2 linked regions of the Drosophila melanogaster genome follow. The protein of the gene in region 1 interacts with the protein of each later gene in a pairwise test. Each region holds a gene or a part of one and is shown in the gene's direction. Other genes may lie near its edges.

The links. Proteins that work in one complex are often made in the same cells at the same time.
Region 2: the proteins of CG1513 (region 1) and CG9205 interact in a two-hybrid assay, tested with the Drosophila melanogaster proteins (one large-scale study listed by BioGRID).

What each region holds. Positions count from the first base shown.
Region 1 is NT_033778.4:9,888,642-9,893,348, reverse strand, and holds the start of CG1513 (uncharacterized protein), read left to right. Parts: upstream 1-1,659; 5' UTR 1,660-1,946; coding exon 1,947-2,114; intron 2,115-2,207; exon of another isoform or gene 2,208-2,269; coding exon of another isoform or gene 2,270-2,604; intron 2,605-2,662; coding exon of another isoform or gene 2,663-2,909; intron 2,910-2,968; coding exon of another isoform or gene 2,969-3,062; intron 3,063-3,188; coding exon of another isoform or gene 3,189-3,297; intron 3,298-3,353; coding exon of another isoform or gene 3,354-3,369; exon of another isoform or gene 3,370-3,471; intron 3,472-3,613; coding exon 3,614-3,742; intron 3,743-3,863; exon of another isoform or gene 3,864-4,224; coding exon 4,225-4,461; exon of another isoform or gene 4,462-4,534; coding exon 4,535-4,612; exon of another isoform or gene 4,613-4,627; coding exon of another isoform or gene 4,628-4,707. Other genes in the region: tea (telomere ends associated), read right to left, coding at 1-393, 447-761, 816-1,240; CG30008 (uncharacterized protein), read right to left, coding at 2,270-2,604, 2,663-2,909, 2,969-3,062, 3,189-3,297, 3,354-3,369; CG12923 (uncharacterized protein), read right to left, coding at 4,628-4,707.
Region 2 is NT_037436.4:1,032,962-1,036,809, forward strand, and holds CG9205 (uncharacterized protein), read left to right. Parts: upstream 1-1,735; 5' UTR 1,736-1,924; intron 1,925-2,223; exon of another isoform or gene 2,224-2,248; 5' UTR 2,249-2,412; coding exon 2,413-2,500; intron 2,501-2,598; coding exon 2,599-2,995; intron 2,996-3,070; coding exon 3,071-3,260; 3' UTR 3,261-3,337; downstream 3,338-3,848. Other genes in the region: trio, read right to left, coding at 689-867.

The sequences.
Region 1 (4,707 bases):
TCCATGCTGGGACTGGTTTGGATTTGTGAAGAGCCACTGGTATTCTGCGACCCTAATGACCCTTTGCTCTCAGTAATATATGAAGTGTTGGGCCTGCGCGAATCAAGTCCTGGCGAGGGATTAGCTAACTGAGGGAGGCTTTTCCTAAGCTTTTCGGCAATATCTTTGCCGAGAATGGACAGCATGCAGGCCTTGAAAGTCGACGTGCAAGGTTTTAATTTGTATGCGTATTTATATCGGATCCTCGGAGTAATGTAAAACGCCAGGTAATAGTCAAGGGCACATTCCTGGACATCCTTGCTCGCATAATTAGCATCCAGTTGCCTCATTTGCTCCACAATGTCCGATAAGTTTGCCATATTTTTCTTAAATACCTCGAAGCTGACGATGGAACTGTGAAATATTTATAGTAAACAACGAGTATTTGGAAAGTGTCCCAAACTTACTTTTTCGTAAGGGATTTCATTGCAGTAAGCTCCGCCACAGTCTTGACCGCTTTTTTGTCCAGTGGTTTCCCAGATTCAAGCAACTTTTCCAAAGGGATTTCTGTAGTTGCATTGAAGATATTCGTAGGGGATCGCTTTTCTGGATACATGTAAAAGCGGTTGTAGAACCTTTGTAGTGTAAGAAGACGACGCTCATCGTCGGACAAGAGGACCAGGCAGTGTTCTATGCTCCTGACAATTTTTTTGAACAGTAACATCTTATTGATGCACTGTAGGAATACATCAAAGGATACCGGAAAGATGAAGGCGCCACATCTGAAATGAGTCAAAATTGGTTAATCTGCTCTGCTCGAAAATAATATTACCCACCTCTCCACATTAACAATTACGTCTGGAGATTCCGATCCTGATGGTTTACATTCAACTGCAACGCCTTCAACTGCATCATGGGACTTCGCGGTTTCAGCGAGCGTCGTCAACTGGCTGCCTTCAACTAAGACTTCGGGTTGCTCTACTTGAGATGGTCCTGCAGCTGCTACGTTTGCAACATCGTTTTGTGAAATTCCTCCTGGCTCCGGTACTTTAAGCAAGTTGTCGCGTGTCCGCCTGGGACACGGCGCCACCTTGACAGGGAACCTTGCCCGTATGCTGGGATTCCGGTAGAACTCTTTGTAGTACCATCTGCTCCACTCGACCAACGTTCTATTGTCTCCATTGGCAGTTTTCAACTCACTTGCAATTTCAGACAAATTAACGATTAACTTTTGAAATGCCGCAAAGGACACTGGATACATGTTGCTCCTGAAATCAAACAATATTTAATGTTAAGATGTAAAAGATTCACAGTAACCTTACGACTTGTTCTATGCAAGTAACGTTATTTGTTGTTTATCATAAACATCACATTTCAATACCGCGAAATAAACTAGGCTGAATATCACAGTGTGACTGTGCTGCAAAATGACAATATTTATCGATAGCGAACGACTAAATATTTTCACTACGAGAACTCGAACTTACTTAAAATTTTACAAGCCAGTTAATACTTTTGTGCTTTATTGTTTATTGTTTATTTATTTATTGTGCTGATTTAAACAGGGTTATAATTTCATAGCTAGCTAATTTTACATGTTATGATTTTCCAAATGACTCCAAATTTGTAAGGTGTGCTAGGTATAGTAGGTGGTATATTCCAGCGGTCGCCGCACGGTCACACTCGAGCTGCGATTCGGAGGGCTAGAAAATCATCGATGTTTACGTACATCGATAGTTGGCAGGGCTTTGCTTTGTTTTGCAAATTCCAAGCGGAGTTGAGGCTGTGACAGATTGCGGGTGCGAGTTGTGAAGCAACATTGCGTCATCATCAGCTCCTGGACAGAAAAGAGCTCAGGGAACGAGGCAGGTCCGCGCCCGGGGACAAGGAAAGCCTTTAGCCACGAGGACGCAGAGGGATCAAAGGCGGAGGAGGAGGCGGTGGCCGTGTCACGGGAGCTGGATCAAATGGCCAGCACCACTGGAAGTGCCCCCAGCCTGGGACCCCCCCAGAGCGGGAGTGGTGGCTCTGGCACATTGGAGGGCACGCTAAGCAAGTGGACGAATGTGATGAAGGGCTGGCAGTACCGCTTCTTCGTTCTGGACGAGAATGCTGGACTGCTGTCCTATTACACGGTGAGTGGCTGCAGTGCACCTCCTGACTGAAACCCATATCGCACCCAGAACGAACTCCTCATGGCCCGCAGCCTTATCTTATCTGCTATAGATACATTTGGATACACATACACACTTGTTGGTACCCCTTTATTGCGTGATTTGTTGACAGGAGATTACTTTTTTGAGTCTGACTGAGGGGTCTGACTCTTGCGCCGCTGCGAGGCTTGATAGGCACTATTATAGAAGTCGTAAAAGCCGTAGAACATGCCAAGAATGACGGTGGTGAAGTAGAGAAGCACTAAGGGCGGCATGCCGCACAATACCAGCTGGAAAGCAACCTGCGTGAGGATAAGAACGAACTGCGTCATCTGAATCACTGTGATGCACTTCTTCACTGGAGTTAGGGCCTGCACCAAGGTCTTATCCGCCACTGCCGCCACAAAGTAGTACGAGTACATGATAACGTGAACGATAGAATTCAAGAACACGCAGAAGTAAGCAGCAGAACCTGTACAATTGAACGCATTTATGAAAATAGTCGGTCACCCAGCAGCCGGCTAGCTTACCATTTTCGTTGAAGTTGATCAGTGCGTAGACCAGCGTTACCGTGGAGAAGTGATGAAAGATGTGCAGCTTGGACACCTGGTTTTGTTTCTTGCGAAGCACAAAGATCACGGTTTCAATCAGCTCAGAGATCTTCAGCCAGAAGAGAAAGTAGGCCAAGTTGTAGTACCGCCTCACGAGCTCTGGGCTGCTCCCGATGTCGCGGCACTTCCAAAAGATGTATATGGTGTTGTCCGTAATGTACAGGACCTGCGAGAGAAAAGCAATTAGCCGATGCTGCTGCTGCTGTACAATTTATAAATATCCACCTCTTTGATAGCATATATGCAGGAAACCACCTGGATGAAATTATGTAGCAAGATAAGTCGCTTGAGCTCGTAAGGTTTGCGCCATTCCATGAAACTATAAGCGAGGTATTAAAGGTCTTCTTTCTTATATAAGTAAGCCAGCGAACCCGCTGAATTGCTAATGTCAAGTCCACTGACCCACATGCAAACAAGCGACGCTGACATTAGCATGTGAACTTACTGCGGACCCGCTTTGGTGACGAAGTACAGATAGAGGACCAGCACTGTGATCATGTACCAGGGATCCTTATAAATCGTAGGAACGTTCACCACCGGCTGCAAATTTATACCTACAATTTTATTGAAACCATCAGACAGTTTTTTGACAAATCCAAGAGGAGCTCACTTGCTGACGCCTCCATTTCGCTTCTTTGTGTTGAGCTTCCGCTGGCCTGTATCCTTTAGGTGGCGTGGGACTGGTGGACTGCAGCTCTACCGCCTTGACCGCTGGCGAACATTTAAGCGTGAACAGCACGCCGAACACTGTTTTTATATTCCCCAAGCATTGATTAGAATACATTAATTTATAGCAGGCGTAATAGCCCTTTGACAGTATGAGCTGCGATTTAATGAACTTTCCTAATTCCGACTGCATTTCTGTTACAGTCGAAGGATAAGATGATAAAGGGCGTGAGGCGCGGTTGTGTTCGTTTAAAGGATGCGCTAATCGGAATCGACGACCAGGAGGACAACACATTCACAATCACTGTGGACCATAAGACCTTCCACTTTCAGGTAAGTGTCTCCTTAGTAAATGGAAATAAAGATTGTCTAAGGAAAGCTTGATCAATGTTTTGCAGTTTCACTAATAGTTCATAATTCACCGTAATAGTTTAAGTACGACGTTGTTTGTTTTATGAACTGAAGAACCAACTCATTTTAAATTCCACACTTGCATTGATTTTTTATGACGTCTAGTGGTATACGTAAGCAAAAACTATGTAGATCAAGAGGGCAGCACGTTTCTTTTTGCAATTCGCGTTTTCGTCCCAAAAGATATAAAGCAAGCATGATGGCCTATCCGCTTTGCTTGCCAAGAGTTTTCGTCCTCTTACCGGAAAAGGGTATCCGGGCATCGACCCAGAAACCACTGTCTGGTCCTCACGTTCCACCTTTTGTTTGACTTTGTTGCCTTGATGTAACGATAAAACTTTTTCCAATACCCATACACAAGCAAAGGAGCCCACTAAACTTGCCAACTTTCCAAACGCTTGCAGGCGCGACACAACGAGGAGCGGGAGCAGTGGGTGCGCCGCCTGGAGGACACCATTCGACGCCACGCGAACCGGTCGCGTCTGTGGGACAGCCAAAGCGCTTTCTACATCGCCGGTGGCTACACGAAGGAAGGGGGCGGGAGCGGAACAGGCGGCAGAAGACCCAACCACCTGGAGTTGGTGGCGCGCCGTGTTTCCGAGGCAGATGCCTACCTCCAGCTGATGATTGAGCAAACGAACGTGAGTATTGTGCCACGTAATGCAGGCATTATGCAATTTATTGTCATTTTTTCTTGTTCTCTGTCCTGCCCAGTTACTGGACAAACGCATCGCGGAGCTGACCGATCCGGCGGAGCAGTCTAAGTGCAAGGCACTCCAGGACAACGCAAATGTAAGTAAGCAGAGGTTACACGTTTCCCTCGGACTCAGTAACTACAACCTCCAGGTGGAGTTCGTCACGAAAGTTGTTTGAGAGTTTCTCCACTT
Region 2 (3,848 bases), on another chromosome or scaffold:
AATATCTAAGAACTTGACGTTTTCAATTCATCTAAATTGTAACTAAAGCTGGCAGTCATGCAATCCACTTTGAGTGCACTTAACTAAGCTGGACGTTTTTAAAGAAAAGTTGATCAAATATACATATATAGAATGTATATGTCAAGATGAAAAGTGTAAAATTTAATTAGGTGCAAGATGATTTGGGTGAGTCATTATAAGTTCCAAGAATTTTCTATGCTTTATTTATAGCTCGTAAATCAAAAAGTCTATAAAAATGTAAATGTCTATGCTACGAATTAAGCCAATTAGTTTGTGATGAAATCTAGAAAAGCAACATATTTAAATGTACAAAATATGAAAATGGTCCTCTTTACTTTGCTGAGTGTTATCATATTATTGCAATTTTAAATTATTATCATGGCTAGTGCTTATCAAACAATAACTTAACGTAATAAAGTGCAGGCATAGATTAAGAATTAGCTGCACTCTTTTTTTTCTCGGCAATATGTTCATAATTATTTATCTTGCTGTATTTTAATATATTTATACTTCTACGTGTGCTTTCGTAATACATAGATAACATAAATATAGTTATAACATAGACAATTTTGAGATGGACGACCTTTGCCCAGATCCAATTGGATGTCAATAGAACCTAACTAACTAAATGGCTATTCCTATGTGGTAGTAGCAACTACATCCTCACCTGGGAATGCTGATCAGGTAGCTGAGGAGACGCCGCAGATCCTCCGGCTTGAGGCGATCGCGACGGGGCGTGGCCGGGAAGCAGAGGAGCGGTCCGCCGCGCCGGTCCCGTCCGCCCGTGAGGAAGACGACCCGTTCCTGGAGGAGGGTCAGGAGATCCCTGGCCCGCTGGCCGTCCATGCCGTCGGCAGGGGAAGGGGGAGGGGTGGTTAAAGCGGCCGGGGGTTAATCACTGGAGGGGTTAAACTGGGGGGTCTCCGCCCGTTTTTTAATCCGACGATGGGCACTGCAGCATAACGAATTCCAGCCTCGAATTTCACTTGTTTTGGCTCTGTTATTAGTTATTATTATGAACCGCTGCTTTTGCTCATTGATTTTCGCAAATTTCTCGCTGGCATTTTCATGGTCACTCTTTTGCTGTTGTGTTTGTGTTGTTGCGGTTTTCGTGTGTTTGCCCGTGTGTGCGTGTGTGTGTGTGGGTGGAAAATGAGTGGGGAAGCAGAGATGCAGATTAGCAATGGGTATTTCACTTGGTTTTCTAAATGCTACACATAATTTGCACACAATTTGTGTAGTTTTCCTATTTTTAGATGCAAGGAGTGGAGTTTTTTTCTTCAGTCACCCTCGCACTTTCGTGCGTGTGGGAGTGAGAGGGAGATACAAACAGACGGGCAAACACACACACTCGCATGGGGGTGCATACATATGCGTATGTGTATGTGGCATGTGCACACATGTATACATATGTACTCCCGTTAAATGTCATAAATCACACGCAGCATAAAAACATCAAATAGAACTCGCGCAGGCAGGCACACAAGTTGAAACATTATTTGGAAATATACACACTCAACACAACATTCGCCACTGCGAACGGGCGAAAATCCGCTATGTTTTAATTGCCTCAATTTGAACACAAACTCCAGACGTATATATAGCCTGTATATACATATGTATATGCTATGTATATCTGTATCATCACATCATCCGCAAGCAGTTCTCTTGCGTCTTGGCTCTTCTTCTTGCCACTGCTTGTGCCACCAAATTGATTTTTTTCACTCGCGCTGCTTTTGTTTTTCACACGCTTTCCCACCGGTAAAATCACCCAAGTTACCGTTGCACGCAGTTCGCGACTTGACGCGGGCTAAGCTAAAATTTTCATTTTTCAAGAAACCGCGATTTTACGAACGGGCGCTCTCTGTTTTGTTTAAACAAATTGGATTTTGCGAAACGACAAGTGTGACCAGATGCCGAAACGGCTTACAAACTGAATTTTCAGCCTTTTTTAATCGAGCACACCGATTGCGTGCCTCGATAGGTGTTAATAATCGATAGTCATAAGGCATCGCAATTGAGTAGAGTTTTTCTTAAAAAAGTCTACATAGTTACGCTCATGATTATCTCAAAATGATACCTATGATTAAATATTAAATATTTTGACTTTTTTTAAATAATATGTAAAAATACCAACTATCTACGATAACAGGCATCGATTGTACTACTATCGATGCTCGCCTGCTAGCATAAGCTCGCTGATACAACACTGTCTGTTGTTCATTAGCTTCCGTTTCTGCCGAGTTTTACCAAATAAACCCGAATCAAATTAATATACCTGCAAACATTTTACGCAAAATCAAGAACTCGCTTCGCCAGCGCAAGAAGAAGCACCGCCCACGGCAGGCCACGCCCCCAGTGCGCCCCGATCCCAAGGACGCCGCCGCCAAAATGGAGAGCAACTTGAACAGGATCATTCGTGAATCGGCCAAACTGAAACTCTGCGGTCAGCTCAGCAAATACACCAATGTGATGAAGGGTGAGCAAACTTTCACCTTTGGAGCAGCACCTTCAAGCTCTCCATCCCATAGAATCCCCGCTAGAACCGCTTCCCTAATCGCAGCATCCACTTTGCAGGATGGCAGTACCGTTGGTTTACGGTGGACGCCAAGACAGGATCGCTGAGCTACTACCTGTGCGACTCGTCGACGGTGGGCGACGACATCGCGCCCTCGCCCCACGTCCTGGCCAGTGCTCCCAGGGGCCAGGTGCAGCTGGCCGGCGCAGTGGTGTACCCGAGTGACGAGGACTCTAGGACGTTCGCCATCGCCTGCGCCTCCGGCGATACGGTAAAGCTGAGGGCCAACGATGCCAGGGCCCGTCAGGAGTGGGTGGATGGCCTGCGGGCGGTGGTCGAGAGTCACATGAAGGCGATGGACATCAGCAACTCGTCGCCGCTTCCTCCGCGGGAATTGCTTGCCGCCTCCGATGCCATGGTTTCAGCGCGCCAAGCTCTGTTTCTCACGGAACAATGGTAACTGCACAGTGATTCGTAGCTAACGCCGCATTACCTCCTGCAATCTATAAATCTATCCCCAAACCCTTCCAGCAACGCTTCTCTGGCCAGGGCCATCGAGAGCATCGACTGCGCTTCCTTCTCGCCAACGGATCCCGATCTTCTTTTGCTCAAGGCGATCTCCACGGCCAGCACCCAGTGCCTGCACCAGTGCTTGGGATTACTGCAACGCCACCAGGAGATCAACCAGCCGGTGGCAGAGGCCGTGCCTCTTGTGCTTTGAGAGATGCATGCTGCAAGGATAGTCTCCAGTTTCCAGTTTCCACTAAGATATGCCCAATAAACACTAAGCCAAACCGCAATGCAAAATCAAGAATCAAGATTCAAGACAACGGTTTGGTAAGCAATGAGAAGACTTTCAGGTTGGGTTACTTTTCAATGTTTTTATAAAATACTTTTTGTTCGTTTCGGTTTTCCGTTTTTAAGTTTTTATGTTTTTTGTTTTCTTCGATTAATTAGAACATTCATTTCGACATTTAAAGTTAATTTGAACATAAAGTTTGCACTAAAGTTTATAGAAAATGTTGAGTTTTGGACGTGGACTTGGACGCTGATCCAGATCGTACAAAGATACACAATATCCAGGAGATTTAGCCGCTAACTCTTGCCACTGCTTATATTACATCCTATTCCGAAAGTAATTCGTTAAGTTTCGATACGTGTGGGAACATCAAAGTCTATTGGGGGAACTGGGATTACATAGATACTTATATATCGTGTGTGCTTATATACGGGCTATGGCTATGGTAGATGTTCTTGCGTATGCAAAAATAGTCATGTTTATCATTATCATCGTAATTAACTCTTGTCC